Linked DNA regions of Coturnix japonica. The protein of the gene in region 1 binds, or shares a complex with, the protein of each later gene. Links are inferred from orthologs where the notes say so. Each region holds a gene or a part of one and is shown in the gene's direction. Other genes may lie near its edges.

Region 1 (4,467 bases):
ACTTTCTTTTGCCTTCCTGTAGCAAACCTGGAAAGCTCCCTAACTGTAAATGTCAGGCTGCAAAGAGATGGATAGAAAACCTTCTTATAGGAACGTTAACGTGGATTTCCAGCTCGCTTTTTTCTTCCCCTCAGTGCTATTATATCGGGGCTACAAGTGATGCAGCCACCAAAATCATTAACGAGGTGTCCAAACCAATGAGTCACCACATCCCCGTGGAAAAGATCTGCGAGAAACTGAAGAAGAAAGACAGTCAGATCTGCGAACTGAAATACGGTGAGTTGGCAGCACGAGGAAATGGGGGAACCCATTTAATGGGATCCTGGATGTGCTGGGAAGAAGCACGTTCAGGTCATTGGGGTCTCCAGGCGGGGCTGCTGTCAGTGGGTATCCCAGATGGCTGTAAGGGGATGGGCTGTATGGGGCATGCTCTGTATAGGGGATGCTCTGTATGGGGGATGCTCTGTATGGGGCATGCTCTGTATAGATGCTCGTTATAGGATGCTCTGTATTGGGGCATGCTCTTATAGGGGATGCTTCTGTTATGGCGCATGCTCTTTTAGGGGGCATGCTCGTGTATAGGGGAATGCTCGTATGGGATGCTCTGTTATGGTGCCATCTCTGTATAGGGGATGCTCTGTATGGGGCATGCTCTGTATAGGGATGCTCTGTATGGGGGCTGCTGGTGGGGCTGCTGGCTGCTTTAACCCCTTTAGCTTCTGCAGAACCACTGCTCAACCTCCCAGTTGGCAGCAGTGCTGTGCCCAAAGCCCTACTGGGACCTGGCTGTTCTGGCAGCACACAGTGCACCTGGGCTGGTGCCTGTTGAGCTGCCGGGCTGTGCGGGTGCTGCTGGCATCGCTGGGTGCTGCTGTCACCTGTCCTGGCTGCTGCCTCTCACCACCCAACTCGGACCCAACGCTCCGTGCTGCTGTCTGCCCTGAGAAGACCAAAGAACAGCCACAACCTTCATCCTGCCGGCCCCTCTTCCATCCCTGGGGGCGGCCATTGGGCTGCGGTTGCTGCTCTCCTCGTTCCTTGCACTAACGGAGCCCCGCAGCCTCCCAGGCAGCCAATGGCTGCCATCACCAGCCGCCGCTGTCTGCACGGCCCTGAGGACTCACAGTGGATCGTGTTGTTGCCGTGACCCCGTTGGAGCCGGTGCTGATGTTGGCTGTGCTGTCCCCGCAGACAAACAGATCGACCTGAGCAGCGCCGACCTGCGCAAACTGCGCGTCAAGGAGCTGCGGCGGATCCTGGACGACTGGGGCGAGACGTGTAAAGGCTGCGCCGAGAAATCCGACTTCATCCGCAGGATCCATGAACTCATGCCCAAGTACGCGCCCAGGGCGGCGGGGGCGCGCTCCGACCTGTGAGCCGTGTTGGCGCGGTTCGGTTCGGTTCGGTTCGGTTCGGTGTCTGTACGCATTAAAGTGACACGGTTCGGACCGCGCCGCCTCCGCTGTCACGTGCTTTTTCCCGCGGTTCGGGGGGTGGTGGGAGGGGCGGTGGGCGTGGCCGCGCAGCGCACGCCGCATTCTGATTGGCCGCCCGGAGTGACGCGCCGGCGGGAGGCGTTCCCGCGCACGTCTCGGCGCGCCGCCGCCGCGTTCAGCCGGCGCCATGCGGCGTGTCGCGCGGTGATGACGTGGAGCCCGCGCGGCGCGGCGGCCGGAGCCGCCTTCGTTCCCTTTTGTCCAAGATGGCGGCGGCCGCCGGAGGCGTCTCCTGAGCCGCGGGCCCCGGCGCCATGAAGCGCGGCAGCGAACGGGACGGCAGCCCGACGGGGGCCGGGGGAGGCCGCGCCGCCGCCGCCGCCAAGAGGCCCCGCGAGCGAGAGCGCGAGAGCAGCAGCCGGCGCGGCCCGCACCGCAGCTCGGGCGCGTCCCGCAGCAGCCGGGACAAGTCCACGCCCGGCGGCGGCGGCGGCGGCGGCGGAGGAAGCGGCGGAAGCGGCGGAGGCGGCTCCGGGTCCCGCAGCCACCGCGGCGATGAACGCGCCGGCGGCGCCGAGTCCAACCACCGTCCGGCAGCCGGCGGCAGTTCGGCCTCCGCAGCCCGCGGGCAGCCCGCCCCAGCCGCGGCCTCGTCGTCGTCGTCGTCCCGCGCGCTCGGCGTGCCCAAGGCCAAGGCGCTGCCCGGTGCCGTGGTGGCCCCGTCGCTGCTGTTGGCCGGGCCGCCGCCGGGCGCCGCGCCCTCGCTGCTGCTGGCGCCGCTGGGGGGCTCGGCCGGGCTGGCCGGGGAACCGCCCGGCTCGTGTGAGTACAAAACGCTGCTGGTGAGCGGGCTGAGCGCGGCCCTGCCCGACCAGCTGCTGGAGGACGGGCTGTTCCGCCTGTTCCAGCGCTTCGCGGGGGGGGGCGCCGGGGACATCAGCGTCAAACTCTCCCACACGCCCGAGCTCGGCCGCGTCGCCTACGTCAACTTCCGACACCCCGGGGACGCCCGCGACGCCCGGCGACACGCCCGGGCCCGGCAGCTGCTGCTCTACGACCGGCCGCTCAAGGTGGAGCCCGTGTACCTGCGCGGGGGCCGCAGGAGCCGCACGCCGCCCCCCGCCCCCTCCCCGGAGCCGCTGGGCTACCTGCCCCCCCTGCACGGCGCATACCAGTACAAGCAGCGCTCGCTCTCGCCCGTCACCAGCCCTTTGCTGCGGGAGCCGCGGCCCCGCCATGCACATGCTGCCGCCGCCGCCTTCGCGTTGGAAGCCGCCGCCATCGGGCTCTCCCGGGAGCGGGAGCGAGCCCTGGATTACTACGGGCTGTACGACGAGCGCGGCCGGCCCTACAGCTACCCCATCGTGGCCGAGGAAGACCTGATGCCGGAGGACGACCAGAGAGCCACCCGCAACCTCTTCATCGGCAACCTGGACCACAACGTCTCGGAGGTGGAGCTGCGACGGGCCTTCGAGAAGTACGGCATCATCGAAGAAGTGGTGATCAAGCGCCCGGCCCGCGGCCAAGGCGGCGCTTACGCCTTCCTTAAGTTCCAGAACTTGGACATGGCGCATCGGGCCAAGGTGGCGATGTCCGGCCGCGTTGTGGGCAGGAACCCCATCAAAATCGGCTACGGGAAAGCCAACCCCACTACCCGGCTGTGGGTGGGTGGGCTCGGCCCCAGTACTTCCCTGGCTGCCCTGGCGAGGGAGTTTGACCGCTTTGGCAGCATCAGGACTATTGACTATGTGAAGGGAGACAGTTTTGCTTATATCCAGTACGAAAGCTTGGACGCTGCCCAGGCCGCCTGCGCGCAGATGAGAGGCTTTCCCTTGGGTGGGCCGGAGAGGAGACTCCGTGTGGATTTTGCCAAAGCAGAAGAGACGAGATACCCGCAGCAGTACCAGCCCGCGCCCCTCCCCGTGCACTACGAGCTGCTCGCTGACGGATACAGCAGACACAGAAGCCTAGAGCAAGACTTGAGGGTGCGAGATAGGACTCCTCCGCACCTCCTGTACTCGGACAGAGACAGGAGCTTTGCAGAGGCAGACTGGGCCAGTCCTGCCAAAAACGCTGAGCGCAGGAACAACTTGGAGAGCTACAGCCGCTCGGTGCGGAGCCGGAGCGGAGAGCGCTGGGCCAGCGACAGCGACCGCGCCGTGCCCAAACTGTGGGAAGAGAGGAGGAAACGGCGGAGCCTTTCCAGCGACCGCGGCAGGACTGCGCACTCCCCTTACGAGGACAGAAGCAGGACAAAGGCCAGTGGGCCGGCTTCAGAGCGCAGCCCGGAGCGGGCTCGCAAGGAGAATCACACTACAGAATCCGGAGCTGAGAAAGAACAGAGCAACTCCCTCCAGAACAATCGTCACGCGACCGAGGAGAAACCCCACCGAGAGGCGTCCGACGCTGCGCAGCCTAAAAAAAGGGACAGCGAACGCAATCATCGAACTGCTGAATCGGAAGCAAAAACTCACGAGGAGCCGAAATCCGAGACCAAAAAGGTAAAGAATTTGTCGGAATACGCTCAGACGCTGCAGCTGGCTTGGAACGGGCTCCTCGTGCTAAAAAACAGCTGCTTCCCCACGTCTATGCACATCCTGGAGGGGGACCTCGGCGTCATCAACGGGCTCCTTAAAGACCATTCGTCCGGCGGGAAGCTCACGCAGCTCAAAATCGCTCAGAGACTTCGGCTCGACCAGCCCAAGCTGGATGAGGTGACTCGCCGTATCAAACAAGGCAGCCCCAATGGCTACGCCGTGCTCCTGGCGACGCAGTCCGCCCCGGGCGGCTCGGGGGCTGAGGGGACCTTCCCCGCGGTCGAGCCCGGTTTGCAGCGACGGCTGCTCAGGAATCTGGTCTCCTACTTGAAACAGAAGCAGGCTGCTGGGGTTATCAGCCTGCCCGTGGGAGGAGCGAAGGGCAGAGACAGCACAGGCATGCTTTACGCGTTCCCTCCTTGTGAATTCTCTCAGCAGTACCTCCAGTCAGCACTAAGGACATTGGGGAAGTTGGAAGAGGAACATATGGTGAT
Region 2 (4,294 bases), on another chromosome or scaffold:
TTGCACATTTCTTGGAAATCCAGGCTCTGTGAAATTCAGTCAGTAGGAGAAACAACGTGATATTAAAACCATAATTACTTTAACATGGCTTTAAAAGGGCTGTAATCAATACCCAGCTTTATATCCTTAGTTAACTAAGTACACATCTGTACTTACATTGTCTGTTATAAGCATCCCAGACCTGAGCTTAACTGAGTCACCACTCAGCTGTAATTGTAGCCTAATTGATTGGTTGCTGTTTAGGTGATGCCTTGAGGAGACACTCCACAACATACAGGTGTGAATATATTCCTGACCACCACATTGCGTGCAGCAACTCACAGGTGTGCAGTGGTACCACAAGCGTTGCAGTTAAGCATTATATCAGCTCCACAGACAGCAGTTATAAAATGATAGTATTATATTAACACTGCAGAAGTTGCTGTGGTGCTGTCCAAATGTTCGCTGCTTTTTGCACTGAGCTGAAGTCCATAGTATTTAGTCCAGTATTTGACACATGTGATCACTTTGTGCTCATCTAAAACTTTTAAAGCAAACACCTGCAAAGGATTTGTGGAGGAAGCAGGGCAGGAAAACCGAAAGCGCAATCACAGTCCCTGTTTTTTAGCTCAGATCTAAGATAAGGCTTTCAAAGTACTTCAGCTTTGTATTGCTGGGGTCATCACTCATGTGAAACTTGCTTTTTTGTGTAGCCACACCAGATCTCTGTATACACGCCTTGAGCTTCAAGGTCTTTCTATCGCTAACTCAGGGAAACTGATGCTTCTATATAAATACAAACAGGGAATATGTACGTTGGAATCCCTCCAACGTTTTGTTACCAATTAACACAGCCACGAAGCCGGATTTCTATCGCACCTTCAGGCAGGCAGCGAGGCACAGAGAACCGACTTCAGCTGGGGGTTGACAACTTCCAGCAGCCCGTTCCAGCCCAGCGATTCCATAACACAGCAACCAGCCGAACCCCAGCCGGGCACAGAGCACCGAGCTCACAGCGCACCCTGTGAGGAGCCTCCACAAACCAGCCTCAGTACCGCGGTATCCTTCCGCCCGCCCCGTGATGCCCCGCACTAAACGCTCGTCCCGCCCCTCCGCCGTTTAACTGACGGCTTTTAAACCAACGTTCCGATAACCGGGGAAGCAGCCGCAGCGGGACAGCGAGCCCAGCCCGCCATCGTGTGTGTGCTGCGAGAGAGGCGAGTTCCCCAGGGGAGCCTCTGAGCAGCCGGGCCGACCCGCCAAGAGGCCGCTCCGCCATCGGGGTCGGCACAACCCCCCTCCCCGCTCACTGCGGCGGCTCCAGCTCCCGCCGCGCATCGCGTGTTGCGCGCGCAGCCGCCGCCCTGTGTCGCGGGGCGGAGCGGGCGGGCGCTCATTTCCTCCTTGGGCGCCATTTTGTAGCGCAGAGAGTCCGCAAATAAAGAGCGGGCGGGAGCGGCGCGCGGGGACGCGCGGCTGGGGGGGACGCGGCCGAGACCCCGGCTGCGGAGCGGAGGAACCGGCCGAGCCGGCGGCGGGCGAGGGAGGCGGCGGACGGGCCGGTGCGAGCGGCGTTCGGCACTCGATGTGACGGGTCCGGCCCGGGCTATCGAGCGAGCTGCCGAGAGAGCGGGCCTACGCACCGCCGGCGGGAGGTGAGCGGGAGAGCGGGCGCCGTTTCACCGTGGGCGGCGGCGGGCACCCGGCGGTCCGGCCCTCACCACGGGCGGGAGGGGAGCGGAAGCGCCTAGAGCCATTTTGTGCCAGGCCCGGCGGCCCGCGGGGAGTCTCCTCCCCCACACTCGGCCGCGCCGCGCCCCGGCGCCGTCCGCCTCGAAGGAGGGAGGGGGTGGGAAGAACCGCCACGGGCCGGGGGGGCCGCGGGGTGTGAGGGGTGAGCGGCTGCGGCGGGCACGGGCCGCGGGGTTCGGCGCATAAGGTGGGGCTGGAACGGAGGGGAGGGGGCGGGAGCCGAGGCGGTGTGAAATCAGCCCGCGGCCGAGCGTGAAGTGTGTGTGTATGTACGTGTGTGTGTGGATGGGGGGGGTACCTTTTTCCCCTTCTCGCGGAAGCCTAGATGCTTTTTTAGGGATTTCCCCACAACGCTTATTTACGTATCATTAAAGGAACTGGCAGTTAGTTAAAGCACGAGTAGGGAAGCAGCAGCTCGCTCATATCTGTGCTTAACTACTTCTTGACTTCCTTGTTCTGTTTAAATGAGTTGAGTTTAGAGTGAATGCTTGCATGGGAATTGGGAGGTGAAATTCACATATGCTGTTATCTATCTGTGTATGTATTCAACCTAAGTTTTCTGAGGTAACTTACTGAATTCTTTTAGTAAACTTTATTTTGTGGCGGTGTTTTTTTTATGTCTATCCGCTGCAAATGATAACAAGTGATAGTAAGGCTGCCTTGTGCAATGCAGTGGCCTGTAGCATCCATCTTCCTCGCTGCTGTTGAAGGATCTTCAACAGATGGCAAGAGTTAGCTTTGCTGTCAATGTAGTTTTCTTTTTTTAGCTGTAATTGTAGTTCTCTTGGACACAGGAAATTGTGTTTCTCTCTGTCAAGGATTTCAGTGGTGCTGAAGTTTTCAAGGCTGGAACTTGTGAATACGGAAGCAGTAAAAGATTCCTAAATGTTTTAAGGAGGATTTAAGTAGGCGACTTAAGTACAGGGCTCACTAGCATTCTTTTTCCAATCTCTAAGTTATTCTGTGTTAGTTTGAATGAGTGAGTTGAGCACCATCAAGTTCATATTTAGCCTCTTGGATATATATTCAAGGTACGTGTTAAGTGAAGCAGGAGCTGTGCCAGAAGTTAAAGCACTGAGGAGTGGGGAGGAGAGGGCTTTATCTTGGGGAAGCACTTCAGTTCTGCCATCATCGTATCATAGTATCATAGTCTCGTGAGGGTCGGAAGGGAACTTAGAGATCACCATGAGGGCTAGGAACAGGAAGCTGCCATTCATCAGTGAGATGCTTTTACTACGTGTTTTTAGAGCCATTCCCACAGGTTCTGATGTCAGTTTCTATTTTATGAAGGGCTTAGAATCTGTTTCCTCTGTGTGCACTGCTTGCTGTCTTCTTAGGGTTTTCTTTGAAAGAAAAAGAAACTTGATTTGAATGGAGTTCTGTGTATTTGTTGGTAGTTAGTAGGTTTCTGTAAACTGAGGCAGTTGTGCTTCATTTGGAGTGTATTTGTGTTATTGACAGGAATGGGGCCCTTAGGATTTGTAGAAGTTCCATTAGTTCCATGCGTGCCTTTGTGAATATACCAAAGGTGCTTCGTGTGAGTCCTTTGAAACCAGTTCTTTGAATTGAAGTGCATTGTTTTCATCAAGTTGTGTTCATGACTGAGGAGTTGGCTGCATAATTTGAGTAGACATGAGTTGCAGCAGCTCTATACACTTGTCAAATCTCAGTACTGTTTGCAGCTTTCTATGGAAGGCACATTGCAAAGATGCATGGCTCTAAAGAAGTTCAGCTTCCTTGTTAAATATGCTTTAATGCTGTAATAGCTAATAGTCTTGTGCGGGTTGGAAGGGACCTTAGAGATCATCGAGTCCAACCCCCGGGATTCGAGCCTCTGTGTAGCAGAGCGGCACTTCTACCACTTGCACCACAGGGGGGATTCGAACCCAGGCCCTGTCTAAGGGTTTTTGTGGGCTTGATTTTTAATGTTGTCTGACTTAAATAAATCTCTATTTGCAGGTAAGAAAGCGTGTCTAGTAACTCAAGGAAGTGTGAATATTTAACTTAGCACAAATGTGGTCCTGTTATGGTACATACACACAGGATGAATTGAATTTTGATAGTTAGCCAAGCCATTAACTGACATACTGCCTTCCCTAAAAATAACCACAAGGGCTTTTAACTTAATATTAAGTTTGTAGCTTAATATTAATTTATCACAATATCACAATTAAGCTTAATATTTATTTATCACAATCTTAAAAGTAAGAGTTGAAAGCACATAATGTGACCCAAGCTTTACAGGTAATGTTCGAAATAATTTGCTTTATTCTAAAATGGTACTGAAGTAGTAGTGTTAATTGCTTTTATAGTTGATGTTATCCCCTTCCTTGTGGAACACTGCATTAAGTAGTTTTGGACACACAGGAAATGCCACTTTGCTTATATTTATTTAAATTAACAAGGTCTGATGTTTTTAGCAGGACACGGGGAAATGGTTTTAAGTTGAAAGAGGGAAGATTTAGGTTGGATGTTAGGGGGAAGTTCTTTACTAGGAGAGTGGTTAGGTCCTGGAACAGGCTGCCCAGGGAGGTTGTGGATGCCCCGTCCTTGGAGGTGTTCA

The links.
Region 2: RBM15B (region 1) and WTAP share a complex: the UniProt entries of both Homo sapiens proteins name them as parts of the WMM complex. The link is inferred for Coturnix japonica from reciprocal best matches to the Homo sapiens genes RBM15B and WTAP.

Annotation. Positions count from the first base shown.
Region 1 is NC_029527.1:1,216,048-1,220,514, forward strand, and holds the start of RBM15B (putative RNA-binding protein 15B), read left to right. Parts: upstream 1-1,628; 5' UTR 1,629-1,750; coding exon 1,751-4,467. Other genes in the region: MANF (mesencephalic astrocyte-derived neurotrophic factor), read left to right, coding at 135-276, 1,192-1,376. UniProt on the Homo sapiens protein: RNA-binding protein that acts as a key regulator of N6-methyladenosine (m6A) methylation of RNAs, thereby regulating different processes, such as alternative splicing of mRNAs and X chromosome inactivation mediated by Xist RNA.
Region 2 is NC_029518.1:41,024,416-41,028,709, forward strand, and holds the start of WTAP (pre-mRNA-splicing regulator WTAP), read left to right. Parts: upstream 1-1,358; 5' UTR 1,359-1,634; intron 1,635-4,294. UniProt on the Homo sapiens protein: Associated component of the WMM complex, a complex that mediates N6-methyladenosine (m6A) methylation of RNAs, a modification that plays a role in the efficiency of mRNA splicing and RNA processing.